2 linked regions of the Oreochromis niloticus genome follow. The protein of the gene in region 2 interacts with the protein of the main gene of each other region in a pairwise test. Links are inferred from orthologs where the notes say so. Each region holds a gene or a part of one and is shown on either strand. Other genes may lie near its edges.

The links.
Region 1: the proteins of airim (region 2) and rnf41 interact in binary tests that used the Homo sapiens proteins (3 or more experiments, as listed by UniProt). The two-hybrid records come from large-scale screens. The link is inferred for Oreochromis niloticus from reciprocal best matches to the Homo sapiens genes AIRIM and RNF41.

Annotation. Positions count from the first base shown.
Region 1 is NC_031984.2:9,466,550-9,473,847, forward strand, and holds the start of rnf41 (E3 ubiquitin-protein ligase NRDP1), read left to right. Parts: upstream 1-4,177; 5' UTR 4,178-4,334; intron 4,335-5,130; 5' UTR 5,131-5,213; intron 5,214-6,024; 5' UTR 6,025-6,044; coding exon 6,045-6,134; intron 6,135-6,229; coding exon 6,230-6,501; intron 6,502-6,671; coding exon 6,672-6,807; intron 6,808-7,127; coding exon 7,128-7,231; intron 7,232-7,298. UniProt on the Homo sapiens protein: Acts as E3 ubiquitin-protein ligase and regulates the degradation of target proteins. Polyubiquitinates MYD88. Negatively regulates MYD88-dependent production of pro-inflammatory cytokines.
Region 2 is NC_031985.2:14,097,306-14,104,660, forward strand, and holds airim (AFG2-interacting ribosome maturation factor), read right to left. Parts: upstream 3,326-7,355; 5' UTR 3,146-3,325; coding exon 2,877-3,145; intron 2,615-2,876; coding exon 2,435-2,614; intron 2,360-2,434; coding exon 2,241-2,359; intron 1,731-2,240; coding exon 1,690-1,730; 3' UTR 349-1,689; downstream 1-348. Other genes in the region: cdca8 (borealin), read left to right, coding at 3,835-3,925, 4,451-4,579, 4,860-4,900, 5,004-5,079, 5,167-5,234, 5,349-5,431, 5,569-5,667, 6,308-6,437 and 2 more. UniProt on the Homo sapiens protein: Part of the 55LCC heterohexameric ATPase complex which is chromatin-associated and promotes replisome proteostasis to maintain replication fork progression and genome stability.

The DNA.
Region 1 (7,298 bases), on a different chromosome or scaffold from region 2:
CCCAACATTCCAAAGTTGATTTAATTTTCCACAGTCCTGTCCCTCTGATTGAGGAATTTTATTTTATTTTATTTTTTTCCTCTTTGCTGGTGAATGAAGTGGGCATGTGTGTCAACGACAGGGTTCCCTATTTAGCCTAACGCTGATTACCTCATTTACAAATCTGCAAATATACTATTCTACTGTGTGTAAAGGAGTCAATGCCATCACCAGCAGCGCGGTCTCGAGACCTGTGATGACAACAGGACCAATGAAGTTGAAATTAGTCAATTTTGAAATATGACCAGTCTGGGAATATAGGGTTAAGACACGATTCAGACATTATTATTTTTTTTCTTCTTCTTCCTTTTCTTTTTTTTTTTTTTTTTTTTTTTTTTTGTAAAGATGAATGAGCCTCTTAAGATTTCTTTAACTAGTACATCACCACAGCTGCTACCCCAGTCAATGCAGGAGCTGTCAGAAAGCTGCAGATACTTTTATTGTTTGTTTTTTAAATAGCCAAGTCAATATTCAAAGTTAAAATCAAACACTTGTTAAAACACAGCTCTTCAAACTCCAACTGGACTAGCAGCTGTTGGCACTAGCATGGTTCAGGAAGCCTGGTGTATCACAATTGTTTAAGTGAACGATCACATTAGCTTCACTTGCTGTTTTTTCAGTAGCATTTCTCCTACCTCCTTGTTTTGCAGCCTTGAGTATTGTTAGTCTCTCCACCTGTTCTGACTTAAAAAAAAAAAAAAAAAAAAGTTTATTCACAGTACGGGAATACAGATTTATCATAAGCAATGGTAGTTATACATAAAGTGTGCTTGGTTGTGCTGTATGTGTACTTGTCTATTTGACGTTGGAAAAAAAAATATTTATGAGAAGCATTTATACGACAAAATACCACTGGAATGTGAAGCCAGACAACGTTATGATGCAGATTATGATGATAGTCTATCCCCTTTAACATTCAGTGGCGAATGGTCAGAGGAATCATCTTTTTAAGAAAATGAATAACCATTGGCTTTATATTTTAACAGCATTTATTTCTTTGGTTTCCTCTTATGCATATACTTCCCCCATCTAGCCCTATGGTATACAATATTTCAACGTTTACAGCTTCCTTCTGGGTCAGCCATTGATTTTTATTTTTTTTTTATTTTTTCTCCCCCCCTACAGTTGTAATGATATCACAGGTTGTCACAGGGATGATAGTAAGGTGTATTTGTAAATGTGGATGAGTTTGAGCCCCTCGAGCCGTATGCCTTTGAATCCATCTGTCCACTCTGTACCAAATTCTGCTACACAGGCGTCTTGTTTCCGCACTGCCCCAACATTTTACATCCAGTTTTGAGTACAAAGGGGTACGGGACAAGGGTGAAAGGTTTGAGGTTTTTCAGACCAGGCCCCGCCATCCCACCACCCTCACAACCACCCAACAGCTCACCCATGCCTACTCTAAGACAGGACCAGCCCAACTCCCCCACCCCTCCCCTCCCCTCTCACCCACCGTCTCACCTTTAACCTCAAGCCATTCATTTTTCTGTTTTTGTTTTATTTTAATTTTTTTCGACAATGCAATCCTGAAAGCACTTTGCCTTGTTATTCCTTTGTGTGAACATGTGAATGATAATTTGTTACAGAAATGTTAAATATGTAAAAGATCATTCACTGTTTTGGAAAAACCTGCATCTGTCTTTCTGACGTTAAAAGGAAAAAAAAAACAATTTAGTGACATTAAACCTGAATCTATTTTATAAAATGTTTGCTGCAGCCAATTGGTCTTGTCATTCAGTATTGTGGCTTAGGGTTGTTTGTGTTCAATAAAGTGCTATTGCTAAATATTTCTTGAGTCTGGAGTTATTTATGTTTTTCGTGTGTTGTGTTTTCGCCAGTCTTTCAAACTAGGAACCTAAGAAAAAAAAAAAAGCTGAGAAGACATTTTAAACCTTTTTGTGTGTGTGTGTGTGTGTGTGTGTGTGTGTGTGTGTGTGTGTATGTGAGAATCTACTTGAGGCTTGAGGTTTCTCAACTCAAATGAGGAACTGACAAAGCAAAGAACTTGACTGTATTTACCACCACTGTTAGCTCACATTTTATAGTAGTATGATGGGAGTGTATTGGACTTTGACCTTTGTGTGTTACTCATAAGGAATTTATATACTTTTTAAAGTGTTTATGTTTTCTGCAAAATACAGTAACAAGCGACATTAAAATATTGATCTGCTGGAGTTTATACCAGATTGAACCACTAGTTTCATAAGAAACTAATGTAATAAAACGAGTGACTTGCATGCAAAAGTAATGTGAATATTGCCATATCTAGCTCTAAGTTTCCTCTAACAGCGAGACTAATTTGAACTCAATTTTATCTTGCTTAAAACCACATAGTTTTATAAGAGTACCAGTGCAGTTCAATGACACCGTGTCAGTGTTGGAGGAGCATGCACTCACACTGTTATAGACGGAGTCATTCATTTCAGTGTCTGCCCCCTTCTGCTAAACCGGATCCACCCACTCTGCATAAAGTGCATTTTCTATCTGGATATTTCTACCTATTTTTTCCCCCCTTCCTGTTTACCTTCTGTCCTAAATATAACATTATGTTCTTTCACTGCATGGCTGAGAAAGAATCGTGTCATATTTGTGTGGCTGTGCTGTGGAAAAGTAATGAGCAACCCTCTGTTTCTTTATGCTTTGCTAGGAAAATGGCAAATGGTTGCAGCAATTCAGCTACATGCACAAACATATCTTGAAATCTGGTATTTTGGCAGATTGCACAACTCCAACAAGATTGAAAATCAATATTTGGTATTCCTAAACGATGCCTGAACTCTCTTAGACACATTTTAGTCTGTAAGTAGTCTTCAGGAATAATTATATAGGCATCTTGAAGGAGATTCAAAGTTCTTCTTTGGATGTTGGCTAATTTGTGTTCTGTTCCCTGTCAAAGTCACCCCCACACTGTTGATGTCTAGGCTCTGGGAAGGTCAGTCCATGATGGATAGTGATCCATTTTGTGTGTATGGTTTTTTGTTTGTTAATCCGGGTATTCTTTAACTTACTTTGCTTTTTGTGGTCATTGTCATGATTATAAATTAAGCCATTCATTGTTTAGTTCTCTCCTGACCTCCTCCAAACATTGAGACAAAAATGTAAAATCTGGATTCATCATCCTCACACCAAACTGGTCATTACAGATGGATCCCCCTCACTGGGACTGGTCCTGCAAGAGGTTTTTTTTCCAGGTAAAGGGAGCTTTTCCTTCCCACTATCACCAACTACTTGGTCACAGGGAATTGGGATGTTGGGGTGACTGCTGGGGTTTTCTTTATTATTACCAAGTGTATACCTTACAATATAAAGCACCTAAAGGCAACTGTTAATGAACTGTAAATAAAATTTAATTTAACTGAACTGAATCACATGTTGCGACTCATTGTCAGTCATGGCATACCTCAGCATTTTCTGTTTTAATTTTTTAAGAATGGCTTCTTGACAGCCACTCTTCCACTGAGACCATTTCTAATGATGCATTTCTGAGGTCCTGTGTCAAGTCTTTGCTGACTTTCAGACACAGTTTTTTTTTAGGCCTTCCACTTCTTTTGTCTTCCAACAGGCTTCTAATAACAAAGTACCTAAAGATGCAATTTAAAATCAGATAAATTAGCAAAATCTTTGCTAATGCGTTATCCAAAGACACAACACTAGTTCATCCCATGACTTTGTTGCTTTTTAATGCTTGAATGATTCATTCAAGTACTAAAAAGCTTGTCTAATAGAGTTTAAGAGAGAAAAATGTTTTCATCTGAATATGGTGGATAATAGGAATGGACTGAAAATGAATGAATAAAACAGCCAATGTCCCAAAAAAATCTTTGAAAAATCATCCAGAAAACCTAAAGACGTATTGTTGAAGACAACTTTAAAAATATAAGAAGATCAAAATGGAAGATTTTGCTTCCTGGAAGGAAATTATAAAGAAATGAGAGGTAAATCAAGTCTTTTGCAGATTACTGTATGTATTTGTGCCATATTTGTCTTTAAAAATGAAACCATCACGGAAAAAAATTAACTGGTAGTTCTAGTCAGATTTGTGTAAATGTGTATTATAATATGGTCTGTAAATGAATGAAGATAGAAAGATGAATATATATAGAGAGAGAAAGTTAAAGGACCAATCAAACGAACGTTGTAGCAGTACGTCATGACGTCGCCGCTCGCTTGCGTCTCAATGACGCTGAAGTGTAGGATGTAGCACAGGACGTGGCTATCAAGCTCCTAGCTACACTGGGACGTCTGAAAAAACACAGAATTCGTCATAAAGAACTAGTTTAATACACGCTTAGGTAAGTATATCTGTTAGTTATGGTATTTTCTTCTAGAGTGTGTAATTGTAAACGGATATTTCTCTGTGTAATACTCCTAGACTGAGCTCTGTCTGGTTAGCTTGATGCTAATATCCAGGGAAAACCAACGGTACCGTATTTGCTAAAAGGGATGGTTAGTGGAATAGCGATAGCTACATGTAATTCGTGACTAGAGAGGGGTGCTTATATCTGAGCATTGTTGTGCTTTTTGTGCGATGACCCCAGTTTCTTTAATTATAAACCCCAAATAACAGGGGCAAAGTACAGCGTTGTCAACGAAATATCTTTCACATAGCTAACGTTAGCAATGCTAATGTTTGCAGGGCATGTTGAGAGCAATTGGAGAAATGGGGGTCTGTAAATCGCCTACATGTGCCGCTTTCAGTCAAATTGGGTCATCAGCCAGTCAGCTGGAATGACAGGATGTTCTCATTAGGTGCTGTAGGTGACAGTAGGGTTAAATTTACACAACGTTAGGTCAAGGGCATCGAGTCAGGGCTGTGTGCTCAATGTCTTGAGTCATTGTTCCTTTAAATTTTTTTTGATTAAAGCAGAAAACGATGTTCATAAAGATAAAAAAGGTGTGGGATGCTGTTAGGTAAAGAATATAGATTATTGCAAGAAAATTTGAAAACGACTGAGCTCACGTCTTTTTTAATATATCTCCAGATAAATTGCGTCGATCTTGGATTTTGTTCCATGCAAGTGCAATCAATCTAACAATCTCTATGAATGTTATAATTTTTCTTTTTCTTTTTTTTTTAAACTCTTTTAGCAGGGAGGCCATTTTACCAGATGTGACGTATCAGCAAAACATCAGGACCTGAATGGAAACATTTGAGGGCTTTTGTGCGTGAGGTAGGCTTAAAGTATTTGAACTATGTAAAGGATTTAGGCAGATTATTTGGCATTGCTTGGCAAGTAATTTGTCAACACGTCTTGGTAAACTTGTCACTGTTCTTTGAATCTGGGTTTTCTCAACTGCTTTTGATTCTTTATGTAAACTCAGACTGAGCTGATGGTGTTGAGCAGAGTTGTATTATGAAGCAGGTTCAACATATCCAGGTTTTTTTTGCATTAGCTGGCTTTACCAAACCTAAAACTTTATTTGGACATAATGAAGATTTTTATTGATTCTCACACTTGCATAAAAAGGGAATTTGATGCATCACATGACTGCTTTTCAGCATAAAATTGCCAGATCGTGTGATAGGGATCTAGAAAGAACATACAAAAATATAACCTCATTATATTTTAATAATTGTGGCAGTTGCTGACAATTGTAAACCAAAACTCTGAACACGACCTGCTCTGGACCAGGTTAAGAGTTTAACATGAGTTACCATGGTGACCAACTTGACACTGAAAACTCTTGAGTTTTAAGCTTGACATACACTGCTGAACTATTAGTCTCGCTTTGTGGTACACCCCTCAGGGCTAGTTGAGTACCATCTGGTGTTTTTCTTGTCACTAAAAGTGTTTGTTGTTTTTTTTTTTAATCACTTTGGGGTCATTATCATGCACCCAAATAAATTTAGGATCAGTCAGTGCCTCTCTGTTGCATAAGAATGCAAAATACTTAAAATCTTTGTACAGATTAGTATCATCTGTGTACAGTTGTGTCTTTAAGAAGTTAATATGGCTAAAAACCTTTTTGTGTGTTGTTCAGGAGGTTGTGGGTAATGTACCATGGGGTACGACGTTACGAGGTTTCAAGGGGAGGTGGATGAAGACCTGTTGTGTCCAATATGTAGTGGAGTGTTAGAAGAACCAGTGCAGGCAAGTCTCTGATCAAAATACACCCCACCTTTTAATTCTATCTGTTTTTCTGACATTAAATTTGTCTTCTATGCATATGGATTTTTCCACCTCAGGCTCCACACTGTGAACATGCCTTCTGCAATGCCTGTATAACGCAGTGGTTTGCCCAGCAGCAGATTTGTCCTGTTGACCGCACAGTAGTGACGCTGGCTCACCTCCGTCCTGTGCCCCGCATTATGCGCAACATGTTGTCCAAACTTCAGATCAGCTGTGATAATGCGAGCTTTGGTTGCACAGCCACACTGCGGTTGGACCAGCTGCAGTCACATCTCAAGGACTGTGAGCACAACCCCAAAAGGCCTGTCAACTGTGAGGAGGGATGTGGGTAAGTGGATTCCATAGAATAAATCCAAAGCCTTATGTGACATCTATAGAAACACTAAGACAACCATAATAATATTACCATAAATTGTTATAAGAATGTGACCTCCTTTGTATTTTGTAGTATTAAATTTTCTTTTCTTGCTTAATATTCTGTCTTTCTCACTCTTGCAGGCTTGAAATGCCCAAAGATGAGTTGCCCAATCATAACTGTATTAAACACTTGCGGAGCGTTGTCCAGCAGCAGCAAACTAAAATTTCAGAGCTGGAAAAAACTGTAGCAGAACATAAACACCAGCTGGGGGAACAAGTAAGAGTATTTTGCCAACACAATAGTATATTTTTGACAAAATATTAGGTCTAGTCTTGATAAAATATTAACAGTTGTCTGTCTGTATGATATTTGGCAGAAATAATTTGAGTGCCATGTCTTTGTGGTATAAGACACAGATGCATGCCTGTTATACGTGCTTGATGGACGTGCAATAACAATGGTCTCCTCATTCTTATTGCACTTTTTTTTTGGTGTGGACATGCATCTATTTGGGCTTTTTAAATGGGCAGTTGCAGATTTTGTACTTGAGGCAGTTTTGAGAGGTTTTCATTCACTCTATTGCTTTTCATTTCCAGAAACGAGACATTCAGCTGCTAAAAGCCTACATGAGAGCAATTCGCAGTGCAAACCCGAACTTGCAAAACCTTGAGGAGAGCATCGAGTACAATGAGATACTTGAGTAAGTGAAGGTTTCCTTTCCTCTCCCAATATGTGATCTGAAATAAATTCAGTTCCTAATTTTCTTT
Region 2 (7,355 bases):
AAAATGTAGTAAGTAAAAGTAAAAAGTTGTAAGAAAAGTACAGATGCCTCAAAGTTCTACTTAAGTACAGTAATGAAGTATTTATACTGGTTTAAAAGAAAGTATCATGTTTTTCCTTATCTTTAAATTACACTATGTTTTAAGTTTCTAGGGGAATACTTTTTATATGTGTAAGTTGTTAAGAAGTACCTTACTAAAACCACTAAATTAAGTGCTATATACTCATGGGAATGTACATGTATTAATTTGGTGATGCAGTAAATTCTGTTATACTTGATTTTATTCTGCTCTTGAGTCTCGTTTACACTGCTAGATTTGTAGCTAATAAAACAGCACACACACCAAGAATACCTTTTCAATCAATACATTTAATTTCACTTTCACCTGCTGAAAAACTATAGTGCTTTCCACGTCTCCTTTATTACGATGTGGGACAATAACATTTAATTTTTAAATGGATCAATTTTAAAGTCTCAGAGCTCTGATGTGCAGCCATCACCTTAGAAATAAACAGCATGAGTTGTGAGTTATGGCTCGATGCATCAAGGGCGCACTAAGCCAAATAATAATTAATAATTCATGTAAATCTCACAGTTAACTATTTTCAGCAGCAATAATTTTCGGTCTTATTTTTAAAACTATTGCTTTTACCTTATTTTTATCTTCCTTATACATTTTAATCACTATTTTATCATCATCTTCATCTGTTAAAGTCTCTGGAGTAGGCCGCACTCACAGGGATCATTTTGTACTGAAGAAAAGTCACATGACCCCGAAACCAGAGATAACCATTATTTCCAAGTGGAGATTTAGATCTGTCGAGCCGGCAATCCTCGTTGACCTCTCAGGTCTATTTAGCCTCTGACTAAAGTAAAACCCAACCCTAACACTAATCTTAGGTTTATGAGACCTTTAAAAACGAAATATAAGACCAAACTTGTGAGAGAACGACACAGTGAAAGTGAAGTTCAGGTAAGAATGAGCAGTACTACTTACACTGCTGTATTTGAACTAGGTTAACTATGATTTGGACACCTGCTGATACACTCTTCTGAACTGTAGTACCAATAAGAGTCAAGCATGTTCTAAAAATAACGAAACCTTAAAGATGCAGTTCTGTTGTGCAATAAATATATAGATGTATGTGTGCTCAAAATTCTCATACGTACTGGATAAAACATTTCAATCCATCCAAACTGAATTCAAGATAAATCAATACTTTACATTGGCCCCATTATTTGTAAATACTTATTTGTAGTTTTTAGGGCACCCTGGTTTCCCTTCAAAGTAGATCTAGGAGCAATTTAAGTCCACTCATCCATTTTTAATTGCTGATCCTATCTGGGCTTAACAGTTCATCATGGGAGACAGAGTGAAGCAGAACTATTCATACTTTCACATCCAGGCAGCCAATTTACATACAAGTTTGTGTTTTTGGACTGTGGGAAGAAGCCAATGGAACCCCTGCAGGCTCAGGAATAACATGCAAGCTCCACACAAAAACCAACAGTTGACCAGGAGATTTGAACCAGGAGCTTTCCCTGCACCATCGTCCCTCCAAGCGACATTTGTGTGCATCAGTTCAAGTCAATGTGCAGTTAGTTTCAGTCGTTCTTCTGGATCTCTTTGTTCTCATCGTCTTCATTAAAATGCAGTTATATTCACGATTAGGTGAGTCCTTAACCATCTTCACTGCGACTCCACAAAGAAAGACACTTTGCAAAGTGTATCTGAAAAGAAAAGAGAGCAAGATAATTAGTTTAATAAATAACAGTCACTTCTAGATCCATCAGAGCACTGGTCTCTGGCCAATGTGTACTCAATTATTAAAACTGAAATTATATCAAATTAGGTTTTGCTACTTGAGATGAATTTTAAAAGTTTTATGAATACTGGCCATAAAGGTAGGTCCCTTTATGATTGATTATAAGTGATAGAAAAAGAATATTTAAAGACGCCCTCTAGTGTAACAGGAAAAAAGATTAAGTTTAAAACCGTGACATAATATTTCCCTGAATTATGTTTTTACAGTTGTTTTTTAATCTATTGTTTTCAAATCTTTACATGACTTTAGATGTATGCTAGATGACAGTCTGTCAGCACTTGTGTTGTTCTGGATTTAAGTACATTTATAAACATCTTCAGCTTCTTTCAATGTTGAAAGAACTAGTCCATCATACAGCATTAATTACAGATGTGAACTGAATGATATAGTGAAGTACTTGTCATATACATTTTACCTGTGATGTGGTCCTCTGCACTGGGAGACTCCAAGGAGTTCCACCTTTGGGGAGCAGATTCCAGAAGTGAGAGGTCATCTGCTCTCAGTGTTTGAAGCAGAGTTTTCCTCCTCAGGAATCTGAACACAAGAGTTAAGGGGAAAAAATACCAGAATATAACATAAACATCCAAAACTGAAGAGAGAAAAGGATACTGTTGCCGATAGTGACGCTCAGCATCCTGAAGCCACTCGAGCATGTCAGCGACCGACGGGGTGGTGGTTGATCGCTCAGTTACTGCAAGCAGATCTAAACTGTGTGTGTTCTGCTCGTACAGATGAAGGATTGCAGCAACCTGGTTACTGATGGCATCCCTCGCAGACTGGAGGGAAGACCTGAAAGAAAGAGGAAAGGAAAGAAGGGAGGGTGAGATAAAAATTATAGTATAATATATACTTGAAGCATACTCTGAGCAGCTTCTGCAAACTGGTACTAATAAGGTTCTTCTCCAAAGATCCATTTACTTACTAAAATATAAACTGATCTTTTATTACTAAAAAGGGTGTAGCTGTACTCCTTTCCCATCAAACATGGATAGTTTGATGTGAATACCAATAACGCAGCATCCTTATCAGATATAAAAGCCGATTTACTCACATCTTCTCGTTGAGTTTTCCCAGCACTATATCCGTTGCTTCAAGGAGTTTAAAGCGGAGTCTCTCCTCCAGGTCAGGAAAAACTCTGAGCGGTGTGTTGGAGATCTGCACGTTGGACAGTGCTCTCGATTGCTCCGCCAAATTCCCGAGAGACACCATCAGAGGGCTGCACTCGGCTAAAACACTCTTCCATACTTTTTGGTTGCTTTCAAGTGTCGCGAAGCTTTTCCTCAGAGCCTGATGAAGCGTAGCTACCGCAAGCGTAGACATTTCAGCAAACGATTTTAGTACTTAAGTGTCCAAAGGGAAAAATACGAAATACATTAAGTCAGCTTTATGTCTTATTTTCCATGAAGGCGACTTTATGAAAAAATGACTTTTAAATGATTCTTCTCGCAGCTACAGAACATCACATTTCTACCATGTTGCCTGAACCATTTCCGTTCTCTTGATGTAAACACTGACGTTCGGCGCTACGATAGGTTGAAAACAAAGTTGTTGCGACGCAAGGCATATGCGCGTCCTAATTGGCTGATCTGGCGTGTTGGCCCCTCCCCGCGCGAAGATTTGAAAAGGGCTTTGTGAAGGAAGGAAGGCGAGTGTCGAGAACGAACAGGAAAAACACATTTAGGTAATGATATATACTTTAAATAAAGCATGTAAATACATCATATTCTGTATTTACACCTACCAGTAACACATATTGGTAGGTGTAAATACAGCTGTCGAAAATAAGGTCAGAAAATAAGCGTTAACTCAGCTAAAGCTACTCGCTAACGTTAGCTTCACCAACAGTTAGCCGCATGTAGGCAGATTTTTTTTTTTTACTTTCTTTTGTTCCCCATTAAGGGTCATAATGTTAATATTTCATTGTGTCTATCGCGTGTTAATATACCACACTATACTGTACTGTACTAGGCTATATTGTAATGTACTAATATACTCCGTGTCCGTCAGAAATGGCTCCCAGGAAAAGGACTACCAAGCAACGCAAGAATAACCCCAAGACGGCAAAACTGGAAGCTTTTCTGGAGGATTTTGACAGCGAGGGTGATTATTATTACTATTTTTAACTCACCATAGAAATGCTACAGAAATACTCCCTGTTCTTTTTTCGGTTGCTCACTTTAGGAACAACCGAAACAACATTTTCTTCCAGCTCACTATATCCTTAGCATCCTCCTCTGTCTTACCAACCCTCTGCGCGTCCTCCTTCACTGCATTCATGAACCTTTTCCTTTTCCTCCAGCTTCGGAGCTCAATATTCAACACCCTTTGTCCAGTATTTCCACTATCCCTCCTTTGCACATGTTTATGACATCTCAGCCCTGCCTCTCTAACTTTGCCTCCAAACCACTCAACCTCAGCCATCCTTCACATGTACTAATTTCTAATATGTCCTTTCTGGTCACTACCAGTGGAAATCTTAGCATCTTTACCTTCACTCTTGATCCAATCTACTGTCACAAATAACCACTGATGCTAACATCCATCCACCCCACCCTGACACTGTATAACTTAAGCTGAATTGACACTGTATAACTTAAGCTGGACTCAACACTTGTGTTTCTGCAGTGAAGACTAGAGTTGGACAGCTGAAAGAGAAGATAAACCAGCTGCTGAAAGATGTTGACAACAGCTACAACATGGCAATAATTAAGCTCCCCAAGGCTGTCAGACAAATGAACTGGTTGGAGCATTGGAGTAAGTAAACATAGTTTATTGACTAACAAATCCCAAATCTATGAAGAAGAAGTGCTCTTGAGCCACAGAGACTTTTACAGCATTCTGCTCTGATTTTTAAAAAAGCTAATGGTACATTTTCAAAAATCTGTGCATTTCATCTTGAATGAATTTCATTAGTCCTGACAGGCTATATATAGCTTATTACCAAAAAGTATTCTCTACACTGCTGCTCTGTATATAGTGTATATTGTTTTGGTTTTTAAACAGCATTAAATAAAGAACATTTAAATCTCTGCAGAATCTGAGAAACCACAAACACCAGAACTCGATAGTGCAAAGGTCAGTTGATTAGCCTTGTCAAATTATACTTAATATACAAGTTTCATGCTTGTGTAACGATGCTCTGTTCTGCATAAACACTCAGTTATATTTGCATTTATAGAGAAAAGAGGAAGCTGCTCTTGTGGAAAGTGTCGTGGCTAAGGATCATACATCTCTTCTAAAAACAATTGAGAAAAGTGAGTTAAAAGTAGTTTATACATTTCCTATGAAACAAGGAAACCATTTCCCTGTAGCCAATCCAATTTGTTTTGTCCAATCCACAGCATCAAAGAAGAAAGGTGGGGCTACATTGAGCTCTGAGGATGAAAACGTCCCAAGCACAACAAAAAAGGTAATGACTGCTTTTCACACAGTCATACATGAGAGCAACTAAATACAGCTGTTGTTATGCAGGATACTCTGTTTGCTTCTTTTGTGGTGTTTTAAATGCTTGTTTATAATTTAGGGGAGAACTACCAGAAAGCCCCCGACTAAAACAAAGAGGGCAAAGGCGCTGTCGATCAGCAAGCAGAGCTCCACCATCAGACGGTAAGTTCTTTTACTTTTTGTATTGTTCTTTTTCTTTCTTTCTTTTCTTCTTCTTTCCTCCCTTTCTAAAAACTTTTGGAATCAAGTTTGGTAGCTAATAAATGTGATGCTAACACATTGTCATTGTTTGGATTCAGATCGAACAAGAACCCCCTGATTACTCCTGCCAGAAGCTTGCTGGATTCTTCTTTGATGATGGGACCCACTCCTCTTATTACCCCCCGCTTTGACCCAAGGTACACCTTAGAATTATACTGTGTCACTCTAAAGATGGTGTTTCTGGCAATAGCAATTAGTGTTCTAGTTGATTGAGAGGGGAGAAAACGTATTTATAAAATGGTTAAAAAAAGGATTCAAAATTGAGCACAGATGAAGACGGGTCAGATTTATATTGTGCATAAGAAACTAGACTCACATACTGGTCAGGTTAGTTTGCTGTGTGTGGATAACATTAGCAGTGCACCAGTCGTCCTCACAGGTTGACATCTACACCTGTCCTGAATGTGGTTATTCAGTGCAGCTCACTGAAGACTTCTGCAGTGTTGTGTCTTTATATTCAGTGTTTTATTACTGAGACATAGTACTGAGACATTTTTACTAGCACAAATTCATTTACAGTTCATGCTGAATAGATAGTGATTCTGTGAAAACATGGGCAAACAGACAAACAAGTGCTCAAAGTATTGTATTAAAGCTCAGGCTTCTCGTTAAAGCAAAATCTCTGCTCTCATAGAGCTGTAAGTGGATCTAATGTCTTTGAGTGTTAGAAAGTGTGCGGGGACTGGAGACTTGCTGTAATCTGGCAGACCGTGCTATTTACTCTGCAATGTTGACATTCCCTACAAAGAAGGCTTCATATTACTCACTTCACCTCAGGCTTCCCAAGACCCCCGCAGTGAGAGTTCCCCGCCACAAGGAGAGGGTCTATAGCATTTCAGTCAACGGCTCTCCCATTGCAGCAGGAAATGAGGATATTGTCATCAATGTTCCCGTTGGGAATGGAGAGGTGAGTGCACATTTAGTCAGGCTCAGAGCTTCAGGTACTATTGATCAGTCAGTTGTTTAAGAAATGATTTTAACAAGGCAGCAGAGGAAACAATATTTACTAAAGAAATTTAGACGTCTATTTTCAGGAAGATAAAACATTGAATACTTTGTTATATGCGGTTTATTGAAAATGAGCTTAAAGATGCATTAAATTGGCTTTCAAGTCTTCTGCTTTCATGTTGATTTTATACTTATGTTGATGACTGTTTAGTTACATTTGATGACTTCATGGCTTTTGAGTAATTAATTGTCTAACAAAACTCTGGATTAGAAGGCTAATTCTCAAAAACTAATTCACTAACACAACTGTCCTTCACATATTGATCCAGAGCATTCAACTGCTGGCCAGTCAGATGGACTCAGTGGATCTGTCACTGCTGGACGAAACCGCCATGAGGAGCATTCGGCAGCTGCAGGTAAATTAACTCCAGCAGGACAGCGTTACTTGCACAGTTTCATCAGCTTTTCGTCACTGTTTTGTTGCAGCTTTAGCCAAATTTTGATGTGAAATATTTGCATATGCTTTGATTCTCATCATTTATTTTTATTTTTCCCAACAGAATCGACTCACAACATTGTGTGGGACATCAGAGTGACCAAACAGTCTCCTGCAGACTTGTACTATACTTTTTTTTTTTTTTTAAAACACAAGTTTATCTCTATTGTAAAGCTTTCATTCTTCTCCTACAATGTGGCATGTTTTTTTTCTTTTTCTTTTTCCTTTATACAGATTATACTTTAACAAATACTTTAGGATACAGTGTAAGGTTAATATTTGTTGTGCTGGACACTGTTTTCTTGAGACCCTCCACATTCACTGGAATTAATCTATTAGTTAAATTGTTCATTTCATTGTATTCACATTCTCCTAAATTAT